Arabidopsis thaliana: one gene and its partner. Each later gene encodes a partner of the first gene's protein in a complex. Each region holds a gene or a part of one and is shown on either strand. Other genes may lie near its edges. A codon is read from its position in the direction of its gene.

Region 1 (6,848 bases):
GTTTTTGTGCTTAACTTATGATCTCAGTGAATTTTGTGCTTAGAATTCAGTTGAAACCGAAGCTTTGATTCCATATTCGATGTTCTAGCTTAATTCCCCTCATTGAACTGCTGCAGTTGATGTGGAGCGGCACGCCAGAGATTTCATGGAAGCTGCGAAAAAGCTTCAGCTTTACTTCATGGGACTAAAGCGAGAAGATCGCGCGCCCTCGAGAGCTGAAAGCCTTAAGAAGGTGTGGTTTGATTTACCAATGTGAAAACTCCAAACACATATTGTCTTACCAGTTTCTGCTCTCTTCTGTTCTGTTCTTAACAGGATATTGCAGTAATGGAGGAAGAGCTTAAGACAAAAGATGAGCTTATAAAGAAGCACATGAGGCTTTTCCAAGAGTCGCAGAAGCTTGTGAAAGAACAGATTGAGAAACACAGAGATGAGCTGGAGAAAGTTTAACAATCTCTCAATCAAAGTTTATTGTTTTTCTTCTTATGGATCTTAAGTTAGTTTCAACAGTAAATAATGTAACACTCATTATTCATCCAGTTATGTCTATTTTACATTGTAAGAGTAATATGCAGACAAAAAGGAGATTCCATCTGCAAATCCACATTTCTTACAAATAGTGCAGGTACACTTATTTCTGTTTGTGGCTTTTTTCTTTTCTCTAGAGTTGTATCAAGTCCATTGATTCATTTACATGGAAACTTAAAGCTACTCATAGAAAGAGAGAGAGTCTCTTGGCTTGTGTTGATAACTTCACTCATATATCCATATGGTGACCACTTGTGTTGGGTGGTTGACTTTCCAATGGCATGTACTGTGCCATGATCCCTCTAATTTCCGCATCCATGTAACTCTGCATAATTTCAATTGTTACTTAGCATCTCTATCTAGACCGCAAAATCTTCCTATGTTTTAATATGATAACAAGACCAGAGTAAAGAACATCGTATACCCTGATTCTGTATTTGTAGACTGCATATCCAGAAAGACCTGCAACACCCACCCCGATTATAAGGATCCACAAAAAGCTCCAGCTGAGTTTTGTGGTTCCAACTTTGCCTGAACCTACACATTCACCAGATTCAAAAGCAGAAAGTCTGATTAATGACTCCAAATTAAGTATGGGGCTAGGAGGAAGGAAGATCTATTTCTTTTACCTATGCAAGTGTCGTGCTCACGCATGTAAAGCAAACCGTTGCTGCAGCTGCATTCATAACTTCCCCAAGTGTTTTTACATTTACACTCTGGGCACTGGCACACCGTTTTTTCTTTGCACTCGTCCACATCTAACACATTCAATCAAAAGAATATGATTATGAATTTGAATTTGACGTTTAACAATGATCTCACTTCTTTGATTGAGTACAATAAAAAATTCCACTGATAATTGTGTATCTGCACTAAATATTCTAGACCGACATGCATGCATATAAACAATAGGCTAATAGCATGTTACTAGTGATGCCTACTAAATAAATCGACATAGAGCTCTTTATATATGCAAGTAGACCACATGCATATATTTTGTAAATAATACTTAGCAAGTACCTTCACAGTTCTTCACTCCATCGCCCTTGAACCCAAGTGGGCATTTGCAATCCTTTGAATGATCATCCTGAAAAATCCATTTCAAGAACGAAAGAAGTTTTATTTTAGGTTAAGAAGATGATTGTTCAAACACATTGACATAGAAGCGAAATACTTACTACGCAAGCAGAGTAAGTGAAGCCACCTCGGGATTCTCTCCAGCATCCTCCATTGTTGATACCACAATGCAAAGCTCCAGAGGCTGCCAAGTGAAATAACATATGGATACAGAAAATGCACATTAACAAAGATTATAGTAAGACAACTTATGATATACGCAAAGGGGAAAATTCAGTAGAACTGCATAAAAAACATTAGAATGTTTCCACTCAGTCACATCAACGAATTTCTTCAAGTGTAAACTTTTTCAAAGTAAAATTTAATCAATGATTGTGACAATTTTATTTATCAATCTTGATATTATACTCGCAGGTGGTACAAATCAACAAATAGACCATCTAAGTTGATTCCAAGAAAATATCGACAAGGGACAAATCAGAGTATTGTTTGACTACCAGTAACAAATACTTGTGGAATACAGAAGCTAAGCAGAGGGTATGGCATTGTTCTGTATCTTGTTCCACACAAAACATGTTAAGCTACACAAATAAAAAATAATTTACCTTTGCAGTGAGTGTAACCGTCACCAACGAATTTAACACCTTGAACAGTAGGGCACTCACACAATCTTCCCCTAAAAGTATCCTAAAATGCCGATTCATACCAAATAAGAGTAATCAGTCATAGTAGCAACAACAAAACCAAAAGTTAGAAAATGAAAAGAATAGCATGCCCAAATGATACCCTGCATGCAGTAATGTTGGCAGCTTTGTCTTGCCAGCATCCACCGTTGTTTTCCAAACATTCATTAGTTTCCAAATCTGCAAAAATCAGAAGCATGTCTGAAAACTATCCTTCTCTCCCATGATATAAAACAATAGATAAAGAATTAAGGATAGCTCTAATGCAAGTTTTGAAAATATATATTGGCCTATCAAGAGAACTGTGGTTTCTGTTAAAAAAAATAGAGTTGCAAATGTCGTGGATAATAGTACCTTCAGTAAGACAGATAGCTGGTTCCGTTGACTCTTGAAAACCCGAACACATAGCCTTAAGCACTGCCCCCTTTTCCAATTTACCTAAAAGCATGAAAGATAATTCAATTAGCAAAAACATAAGAAAGATGCTGTAGAAAGGGAGGAAAAACTGACAAGTCAACATTTCCCCAATACCTCTGTATTGTCTGTTGTTCACGACAAGAGTTGGGAGTATAGTCACGTCTCCACGGGAACCTTTGCCTATCTGAAATTGAAGTAGACTCATTTTAAGAACACCTCGAGGAATGGAGAATATATGGCAACTTAAAACCAACAAGATCTTGGGAAGACGTGTAAGAGCCAATTAGTTACAAAAAGGCAAACCTGTGACTCCTGCTCTGCTTTAAGAACTGGGTTCTCCACATCTGCTTCAGGGTCTCCGATACACTTGTCCACCTTTTTGAGATCAATGCCTGAATGCATATATAGCTGATAGTCAGAAAATTTAGGATGAAATGCACAAATTTGAAAGTAACAAAATATCCACTTGGTGAATATAAGGATTCAAGAAGGCCATACAAGGTAAGCTCATTTAAATCAATCAATTGGTTGTTCTATATTATGGATGAGCTGATATCTGAAAATACTATTCAGTTTCTAGACTAATTTCTAGCCACAGGTAATATGTTAATTAAATGATACCACAGGAGCAAATACCATCGAAGTAATGAAGCATTATACTCACCAAGGGACTTAATAATTCCATCTGCGCATTCCTTGGTGTACTTCTTCTCCTTCATTGGACACCGGATAGCAAAGTCAGTCACATAGTCCCACCAGACCCACGGCTTACCGGTATCATTCATCACTCTGTAGACACAAGCCTGACGTAGATTCTGAACAACAACATCCTTTCCATCATACCCTTTCGTAAAATCCTGCTCAGGATCAGGCGCACAATACCTTCCATGGTTGATGCACTGAGACTTACACTGTTTACTCAACGTAAACGCTTCAGGACAGTACCAAGTAATATAATGTGGCGTGAACTGAGTATGCCCACCTTTCTCAAGAATCTGAGCAGCTCCTTTAAAATTCTTGAGAAACTCAATCTGAGTATCACACTTCTTCCCACACTCGTCATTGCTATTAGTCCACAGTTCATACTCTACACGCTCATCAGGATGTGGAACCGACTCAGTCCAATCTAGCTTCATGTTAACCATATCACCACCGGAAAGAGCAGACTTTATACTGTCTCCCAATGTTTTAGTAATGAGAGCAGAAGGAATGGTAATGTTCTGAAGATAATCCGCATCAGATTTATCTTCTTCAGGTGTATCCATTGTAATCAATGGCTCAGCTTTACTATCAGCTACAAGTATCGCTGCTGCTCCAGCTTGTTGAGCTATCCATGCTTTCAAAGTGAAGTAACAATCTGAAAACAAAATTCAGTTCCAAAATTGAATCAAAAACAGATCTTTTGAATACCCAATTAAGGGAACAACTAAAAAGGTAAGAACTTTGAAATCGAACCTCCACGATCGATAAGGACAAAAGTTGGTAATCGTCCAGGTTTGGATTTGAAGGAGATATCGAAATCGGAGTAGCTTTTACAAGCTTTCTGATTGGATTTAGGATAGACGACGGTGCCGACTAAAGTACCACCGTATTGAGGAACTCCGAAATTACCAATGGCACATTCGTAAATACCTTTGATCGAATCAGGTGATGTAACTTTGAGATTGTTCTTCTCAACAACGAATCTACCCATTGCTAGATTCAAGATCAGAAGAAACGAGAGAGTGAAAAGCCCAAGCTTCATGATTCCAAGTTCCTTCCTTTACAACTTAATACCCAATCGATTGAAAGTGATAAAAGGTAAGAGATTTAAGCTCACACAGAGTAATGGATTCAAGGGTTTTGGGTAATTAAGTAAGATCCGAAACCCTAGAACGAAGAAAGCTAGGCGAAATGTACGAAGCTTTTTGTTTTTGATTCGTGTGAAGGAAGTGAACAGAGTTATTAGATTTAAGAGTCTTCTAAGTTAAGGAAGAGAAGAAAGAAGATTTAATCTAATGGATAAATTATTAATGGTGATTAGGATTAGAGATTCATGAATGTTAAGAGTTAATTAATTATTTTAATTTAGGAATGGAGAAGGGTTTATCACTTTATTGAATTGTTCTTCTTTGTCGTTTCCGGAAACGTGGATATGTAAAAAAAGAGTTTGTACAAATTGAATAAGAATCTAAGAAGAGTAAACGGGAAACACGTGTGGGCAATCTTTTAATCTGACGGTACTGAAAAAGAAAATTCGTGTTTCATCTGATGTGATGCTTTATCTGAGAGGTGGATTTTTTACCATACCATAAAAAATGTTGATCAGAGCTCAAGTGAAATAACTATTCAAAAGATTGGTAAAAAAGATTTGATGTTTTGGTTTATTTTGTGAATAGTTATTTCATACACTAGGAATACATTATTAGAGCATGGATACATGTAACATTCTTCCACAATGAGCCAATAAATGTGACTATATCTATACATGACAATCTATGCATGATTTTGTAAACCACACAAATGCTTGCTTCAATTGGCTGTTCTTTTTACAAGAGAGATCCCACTTGGGTCACCACCACCACATTCATCAAATATAGGTTTATTATAGTTTGATACTTGTGGGAGATTATAATGAACATTTATGGGGTGATAGGGATTCTAGCTCTAGTATGTTGCAAGTAATAGAGAGAGAGCGAGTAATTGTGCCGGCATCTACATGTATTAGGTCATGAGGGATCAGATGATAATGATGATGATGATGGTGAACAAGTAGATGGTGAGGAATATGGAAGTGACCAAGGTTCTGAGCAAGATGAAGTCGCCGATGAGGTTGATGCTTTATCTATTCATTCTAGATTTTGTAACTATCTTTTCTCCATTTCCAAACGAAATCTTTGATGTGTAGGTTGCTCCAAGAAATAGATTTGGGGATGTTCCCTTGGAGTGGTATAAGGATGAGAAACATATTGATTATGACATCATTGGGAAGAAGATTACCAAGAAAGAAATGCGAGATAAACTAATGATGACTCCAAGAATTGGTCAGTTTGAAGACTTTTCTGTTTATTTTTATATATAGTTTGTTATTTAGTTGCATTATGGTGATGCAATTTATGGGGCTTAGGGGCAAGATTCATGATGAATATAATGACGAGGAAGTGGAGCTGACTGAAGAGGAGAGAAAGACCATTCGTAGAATGATGGAACATGCTAACTTTTATCCATATGTGGTACGTTATGTGGTTTAAGTCTAGCCGTTTTTCTACTAATATGTCACTTAAAATGTGACCTTTTGATTGATTCTCTTGGTGCCAGCTTTATGTTGATTGGTTCAAATGGGATGATGCAATACATCCACTCTCAAGTGCAGAACCCAATCCAAGGTTCATCCTTTCAAAATGGGAGGCTAAAATGATTATTAGTTACGTTAGAGCAATCAGGAAGGGGTAGTTGATCAAGCCTGAAGAAGAACCCCTCTTATGGGGTGATTGAGATTGGCTTGTTTTGGTCTATTGTATAAATATTATTTTATACAATTGTAATACATTTTTAGAGCAGGATACATATATATATAATATTCTTCCACAATGAGCCAATGAATGCAACTATATCTGTACATGACAATCTCTGCATGCTTCCGGAAAAAATTTGAAGTAAGAAGCTTCATTTGGCTGTCCTTTTAACAAGAGAGATTCCACTTGGATCACCACCCCATTCCTCAAATATAACTAGAAGGTTCCCAAACGGTTTTAGCCATGAACGAGGTACATGGTACCTAAAACATTAATAAATCAATCATGTGAATTAGATTTTAGACCAAATAAGAAGAAGAGAAGGATATTGTTTCTTTTTTCTCACCATCTTTGAGAAGGTTCACCACAGTGACTGAGACATTTCTTCTCGTTGTAAATTCCAGCATAGTTGCAACGTCCACAGTTCCCACGAGCCGTGTAGGCAGGCCAGTGGCGTCCAATGTTATGTCCATTTACCCAAACTTGACCTTTCCCCATTGTGTTCATGTCCAAAGCCAGTGGTTCGTTGCCTCTCGGTGTATCAAAAGAAGACTACAAATAGAGACAACAAGAATCCGATATGAATCTATATCTTATATTATGTTCATAATTTCAATAACATCCATAGTTATAATTCATCACAAAAACC
Region 2 (4,893 bases), on another chromosome or scaffold:
TTACTAACTTTATGATTAGACATATGTTGAATTCGAACGCAATTCTTAAGAAAAAGCGAGTTGAAGCATAATTGTAAATTAGATAGCCTCTATAGAGATAATCCCCTAAATTCGCCTATTGTAATATGTTGACATTACCGTGAATACAAAAATATAGATGCTATTCATATATACATTGTACACACGAAGATGTAGACATGTATGTGAAATGTAAGTGTTTGTTTCATTGTATGGTGCAAAAAGAAGAAATTCAATGGACAAAAGTACAAGGCTGGCTAAGTGACAGCCTGGGATGAACAAGTTGGCATATGGTGGAATTCTTATATTTTTTTCTGTATAATGTAGTGTTATATTATGACATTAACAGGTCGTTTAAGGAAGAAAATATATTTTGTAAATTTGTGATCACAAAAATTTAATTTATCGGGAATATGCTTTTAGTCAAGTGGTTAAGTCTATTTGATTATGTTTTTTTTACTGGAATTCGATTCCACTAAATTGTGTTATCCTATATAGTAAAAATTGTCTATAAATCGGACCTTGTCGATCCAAAAAAATAGTTTATTTGTTTGAACCCTTTTGATCGATGATTACCAACTGTTTTGAAGATCAGCATTCAACTTAACAATTTGTTTTGGTAGAATGTTTAGTCGGTTTGATTAAATGGTTAAATCGGTTCAAAACACGTTAAGGCAGTCACAATAAAAAGTTATTAACCGATGATTTCGAGCCGTTTCACCAGTTAGCAATCAACCAAACAATTGTTTGACACATTTTATTTTTTTTGGTTATGGCCTTTTGGGTTTGATACAAAAAAGTTTGTTAAAGCGGTTTAAAGATTTTTTCTCACAGTTACAAGAAGCAAATAAAATAGTCTAGAAACTACTAGGTATCAACTTAATTATCATAAATGATTCTTGGTGTAGCGTCATTTACATGTGAAGCATATATCTCGTGTTGCTCTCAATATCCCTTTATAAAAGTACATGATGCTTTTCTCTTGGCCAAACGGCATGTAGTTGAAGAGCACAAGAAAATTGAATTGAACAAACATAGAGCGTCCAATACTGGACCATGGAGATGTACCGCTTGGGCTATTAGACTATCAGGCCACCTTGTATATATATAATCCATTACCTATTATTGTCATGCTACCTTGTAATCTTGTATATAGATCCATTAGAAACTAGACCTAAGCACAATAAAAGATATATATTCTAGTCAATTTTGATCACAATTTGGAGTTTCATAGTTTTAAGTTTTCATTGTTTCTCTCTTTATAATAACAAAATCAGCCTTAACAAAAAAGAATTTGATAAAAATTATGCTATACATATAGCGTTTAAATCCGCATAAAAAACATAATGTATATACAACGTTTTGTAAGATCTATTCACTCTTAACACTGAAGATTTTTTTAACTCAATACAATGTAACTAAAGATAAACTAGAATAACTTACAATTTCATATATATACATGTATCTACATATGAAAGAATTTTCAAAGGGAAAGAACTCTTTTGAAAAATATAAATCTGAAAGGGGAAAAAATCTCAAGAAACTAAATTTTCAACAAAAAAAATTAAAAACTGTGGGAGATCAGATGATGAACAACATGCAACCGTACACTCGTCTCACAGCATGTTCGTCGCGTCCGCCACATCTCTCACGTGTGTCTCAGCTGTTTCCTGTCGCCACGTCTTTTCACTCGATCGTCTTTTTATAGTTTACCATTATCTAATAATGCGTATAAACTTTTTATCATTTGCACGTATCAATAATTGATCATCAAAGACTTTCGTAATCGTAACATAAAACATTTTCTCAATTCGTATGTGACAGTTTTATATATATATATATATATATATTACGATAATAAAATAAAATAAACAATATGACCTATTACAAATACAAAAACAGAGAAATGAAACCGCTGTATATAATAAAATAAAGATTTGTCCTATTACAAATACAATGTGCCTATCTCAAAAGCTGATGTGTAAGAAACATGCACTTGAATAAGCCATGCAAATTGAAATGTGTCAACTCCATTTATTTTTTACAGAGTGAAGCCAAAATTCATTTTCGGATGAAGTCATAAATAGCAATTTAAGTGAAGTGTAAATTGTACATAGTCGACTCTATATACCTGGTTCTTATCTCATTCAATTTATCCTCAACAACTTTAATAGAAAAATATCAAATAAATTCCCTATAAATAGCTTCACATAATGCAAGTGAGAAACCACAAAAAGTAAGAAATATAAGAAATAACAAAATGGCTCGAGTCTCTTCTCTTCTTTCTTTCTGCTTAACACTTTTGATCCTTTTCCATGGCTACGCGGCTCAACAGGGTCAGCAGGGTCAGCAGTTTCCGAACGAGTGCCAGCTCGACCAGCTCAATGCGCTCGAGCCGTCACACGTACTGAAGAGCGAGGCTGGTCGCATCGAGGTGTGGGACCACCACGCTCCTCAGCTCCGTTGCTCAGGTGTCTCCTTTGCACGTTACATCATCGAGTCTAAGGGTCTCTACTTGCCCTCTTTCTTTAACACCGCGAAGCTCTCTTTCGTGGCTAAGGGTACGTACGACTCTTTCTATATCGAAATTCGAATTCATGACTTTATGGTTCATGCTCTTTAGGATTAGTCCATAATCTTTCAACTTTAATTAAACCTATATAATTTATGTGTTACATTCTTAGGACGAGGTCTTATGGGAAAAGTGATCCCTGGATGCGCCGAAACATTCCAAGACTCATCAGAGTTCCAACCACGCTTCGAAGGTCAAGGTCAAAGCCAGAGGTTCCGTGACATGCACCAGAAAGTGGAGCACATTAGGAGCGGTGATACCATTGCCACAACACCCGGTGTAGCACAGTGGTTCTACAACGACGGACAGGAACCACTTGTCATCGTCAGCGTCTTCGATCTAGCCAGTCACCAGAACCAGCTTGACCGCAACCCAAGGGTATATATATATATATATATATATATATATATATATATATAACAAAACCTCATTACAAAAGAATCATTATATTAATTACAAATTAACAAAAATAATATGGTTTATTCTTTTTGGTATTTTATGAATGAAGCCATTTTACTTAGCCGGAAACAACCCACAAGGTCAAGTATGGCTACAAGGACGAGAGCAACAGCCACAGAAGAACATTTTCAATGGATTTGGACCCGAGGTTATTGCTCAAGCTTTGAAGATCGATCTTCAGACAGCACAGCAACTTCAGAACCAAGATGACAACCGTGGAAACATTGTCCGAGTCCAAGGACCGTTCGGTGTCATTAGGCCGCCTTTGAGGGGCCAGAGACCTCAGGAGGAGGAAGAAGAAGAAGGACGACATGGACGACACGGTAATGGCTTAGAGGAGACCATCTGCAGCGCCAGGTGCACCGATAACCTCGATGACCCGTCTCGTGCTGACGTGTACAAGCCACAGCTCGGTTACATCAGCACTCTCAACAGTTACGATCTCCCCATCCTTCGCTTCATCCGTCTCTCAGCCCTCCGTGGATCTATCCGTCAAGTAAGTAAACATAAATATTATGTTACTATAACCTAGTAAAATATGCATGCCTGATGCATGTTAATATGTCCATTTCTATATTTAAACATGACTCTTGAAACGTGTGTGGGTGTAGAACGCAATGGTGCTTCCACAGTGGAACGCAAACGCGAACGCTATTCTTTACGTGACAGACGGGGAAGCCCAAATCCAGATCGTAAACGACAATGGTAACAGAGTGTTTGACGGACAAGTCTCTCAAGGACAGCTCATAGCCGTACCACAAGGTTTCTCGGTGGTGAAACGCGCAACAAGCAACCGATTCCAGTGGGTTGAGTTCAAAACAAACGCTAACGCGCAAATCAACACTCTGGCGGGACGAACCTCAGTCTTGAGAGGTTTACCACTTGAAGTCATAACCAATGGGTTCCAAATCTCACCCGAAGAAGCAAGGAGGGTCAAGTTCAACACGCTCGAGACCACTTTGACTCACAGCAGTGGCCCAGCTAGCTACGGAAGGCCAAGGGTGGCTGCAGCTTAAGAGCTTAAAACTGCAGCTTAACAATGAACCTCGAGTACTGTAAAAGGAAGTTAAACAGTACGTAGTAATAATAATAATGTACGAAAATGTGACTAGTTTTGTTGAGGTTTACCTGTAAAATGCAACTCCTTTTCTGAATAAAATCTTTTCAATTTTCGATCAAGTTAATACAAATCTAGGTCTAAATTAGGTTCTTAATCATAGAGACTAGTTCTGATTTTTATGATTTAATACATTTGAATCATCATATTATTTTATATAATAATCCAATATTAACATTAGACAAGTCGCCAAAATATTGTCATGCTTAACAAATTTATATTACCTCATTTTCTTTATCTATTTATAATACATCAAATGCTTTAATTTTAATTTCAAATATCTAATTTAATCCGTGCATAATTTTTTCAATAAAATAACAGTGTTTTTATCTAATTAATAAATAAATAATTTGTGGGACCTTGTAAACATATTTACCATATATTATTATTTAAATTAATAATTAGATTTATTAATGAAAACTGACGTAACGCCGTCGTTTTAATTCTTTGTCGGTGAGCAACATAGAGTGACGTGGCAGCTATCTGCTGGTTAAACGTATTAGCGGAAGACTAAAGTATGTAAATCTAATGGACAGAAAAGTACATAACGTGGCCGAAATCTAATGGCTAATAAGGTCTTTGTTTAAAACGGAACGTATTTAAAGGCCAACAGATTAAGCAGAGGAGTTATACTTTACTACTTACTAATCTCTCCCTCTCTCTATCTGACTCTTTGATCGGAAAAAATGGCGGAGAAAAATGCGAGCGCGGTGGACGGTGCAATTAG

What was found.
Region 2: the proteins of VSR1 (region 1) and CRA1 are in contact, whole or in part, in a crystal structure (PDB 7F2D), measured with the Arabidopsis thaliana proteins. Residues at the interface, in NP_190853.1 of Arabidopsis thaliana: Arg95 (codon at 4,167), Gly96 (codon at 4,164), Cys98 (codon at 4,060), Tyr99 (codon at 4,057), Phe100 (codon at 4,054), Leu125 (codon at 3,979), Ile126 (codon at 3,976), Thr127 (codon at 3,973), Met128 (codon at 3,970), Asp129 (codon at 3,967), Thr130 (codon at 3,964), Pro131 (codon at 3,961); in NP_199225.1 of Arabidopsis thaliana: Arg468 (codon at 4,048), Val469 (codon at 4,051), Ala470 (codon at 4,054), Ala471 (codon at 4,057), Ala472 (codon at 4,060).

What each region holds. Positions count from the first base shown.
Region 1 is NC_003074.8:19,585,600-19,592,447, reverse strand, and holds VSR1 (vacuolar sorting receptor homolog 1), read right to left. Parts: upstream 4,693-6,848; 5' UTR 4,450-4,692; coding exon 4,161-4,449; intron 4,063-4,160; coding exon 3,370-4,062; intron 3,098-3,369; coding exon 3,009-3,097; intron 2,890-3,008; coding exon 2,820-2,889; intron 2,727-2,819; coding exon 2,643-2,726; intron 2,469-2,642; coding exon 2,392-2,468; intron 2,293-2,391; coding exon 2,211-2,292; intron 1,790-2,210; coding exon 1,707-1,789; intron 1,616-1,706; coding exon 1,549-1,615; intron 1,287-1,548; coding exon 1,158-1,286; intron 1,066-1,157; coding exon 953-1,065; intron 854-952; coding exon 758-853; 3' UTR 501-757; downstream 1-500. Other genes in the region: AT3G52860 (mediator of RNA polymerase II transcription subunit-like protein), read left to right, coding at 117-232, 316-450; BGAL2 (beta-galactosidase 2), read right to left, coding at 6,351-6,462, 6,546-6,751.
Region 2 is NC_003076.8:17,755,632-17,760,524, reverse strand, and holds CRA1 (RmlC-like cupins superfamily protein), read left to right. Parts: upstream 1-2,188; 5' UTR 2,189-2,278; coding exon 2,279-2,579; exon of another isoform or gene 2,580-2,583; intron 2,584-2,702; coding exon 2,703-2,968; exon of another isoform or gene 2,969-3,092; coding exon of another isoform or gene 3,093-3,098; coding exon 3,099-3,545; intron 3,546-3,660; coding exon 3,661-4,065; 3' UTR 4,066-4,287; downstream 4,288-4,893. Other genes in the region: ABCI21 (P-loop containing nucleoside triphosphate hydrolases superfamily protein), read left to right, coding at 4,853-4,893. UniProt on the Arabidopsis thaliana protein: Seed storage protein.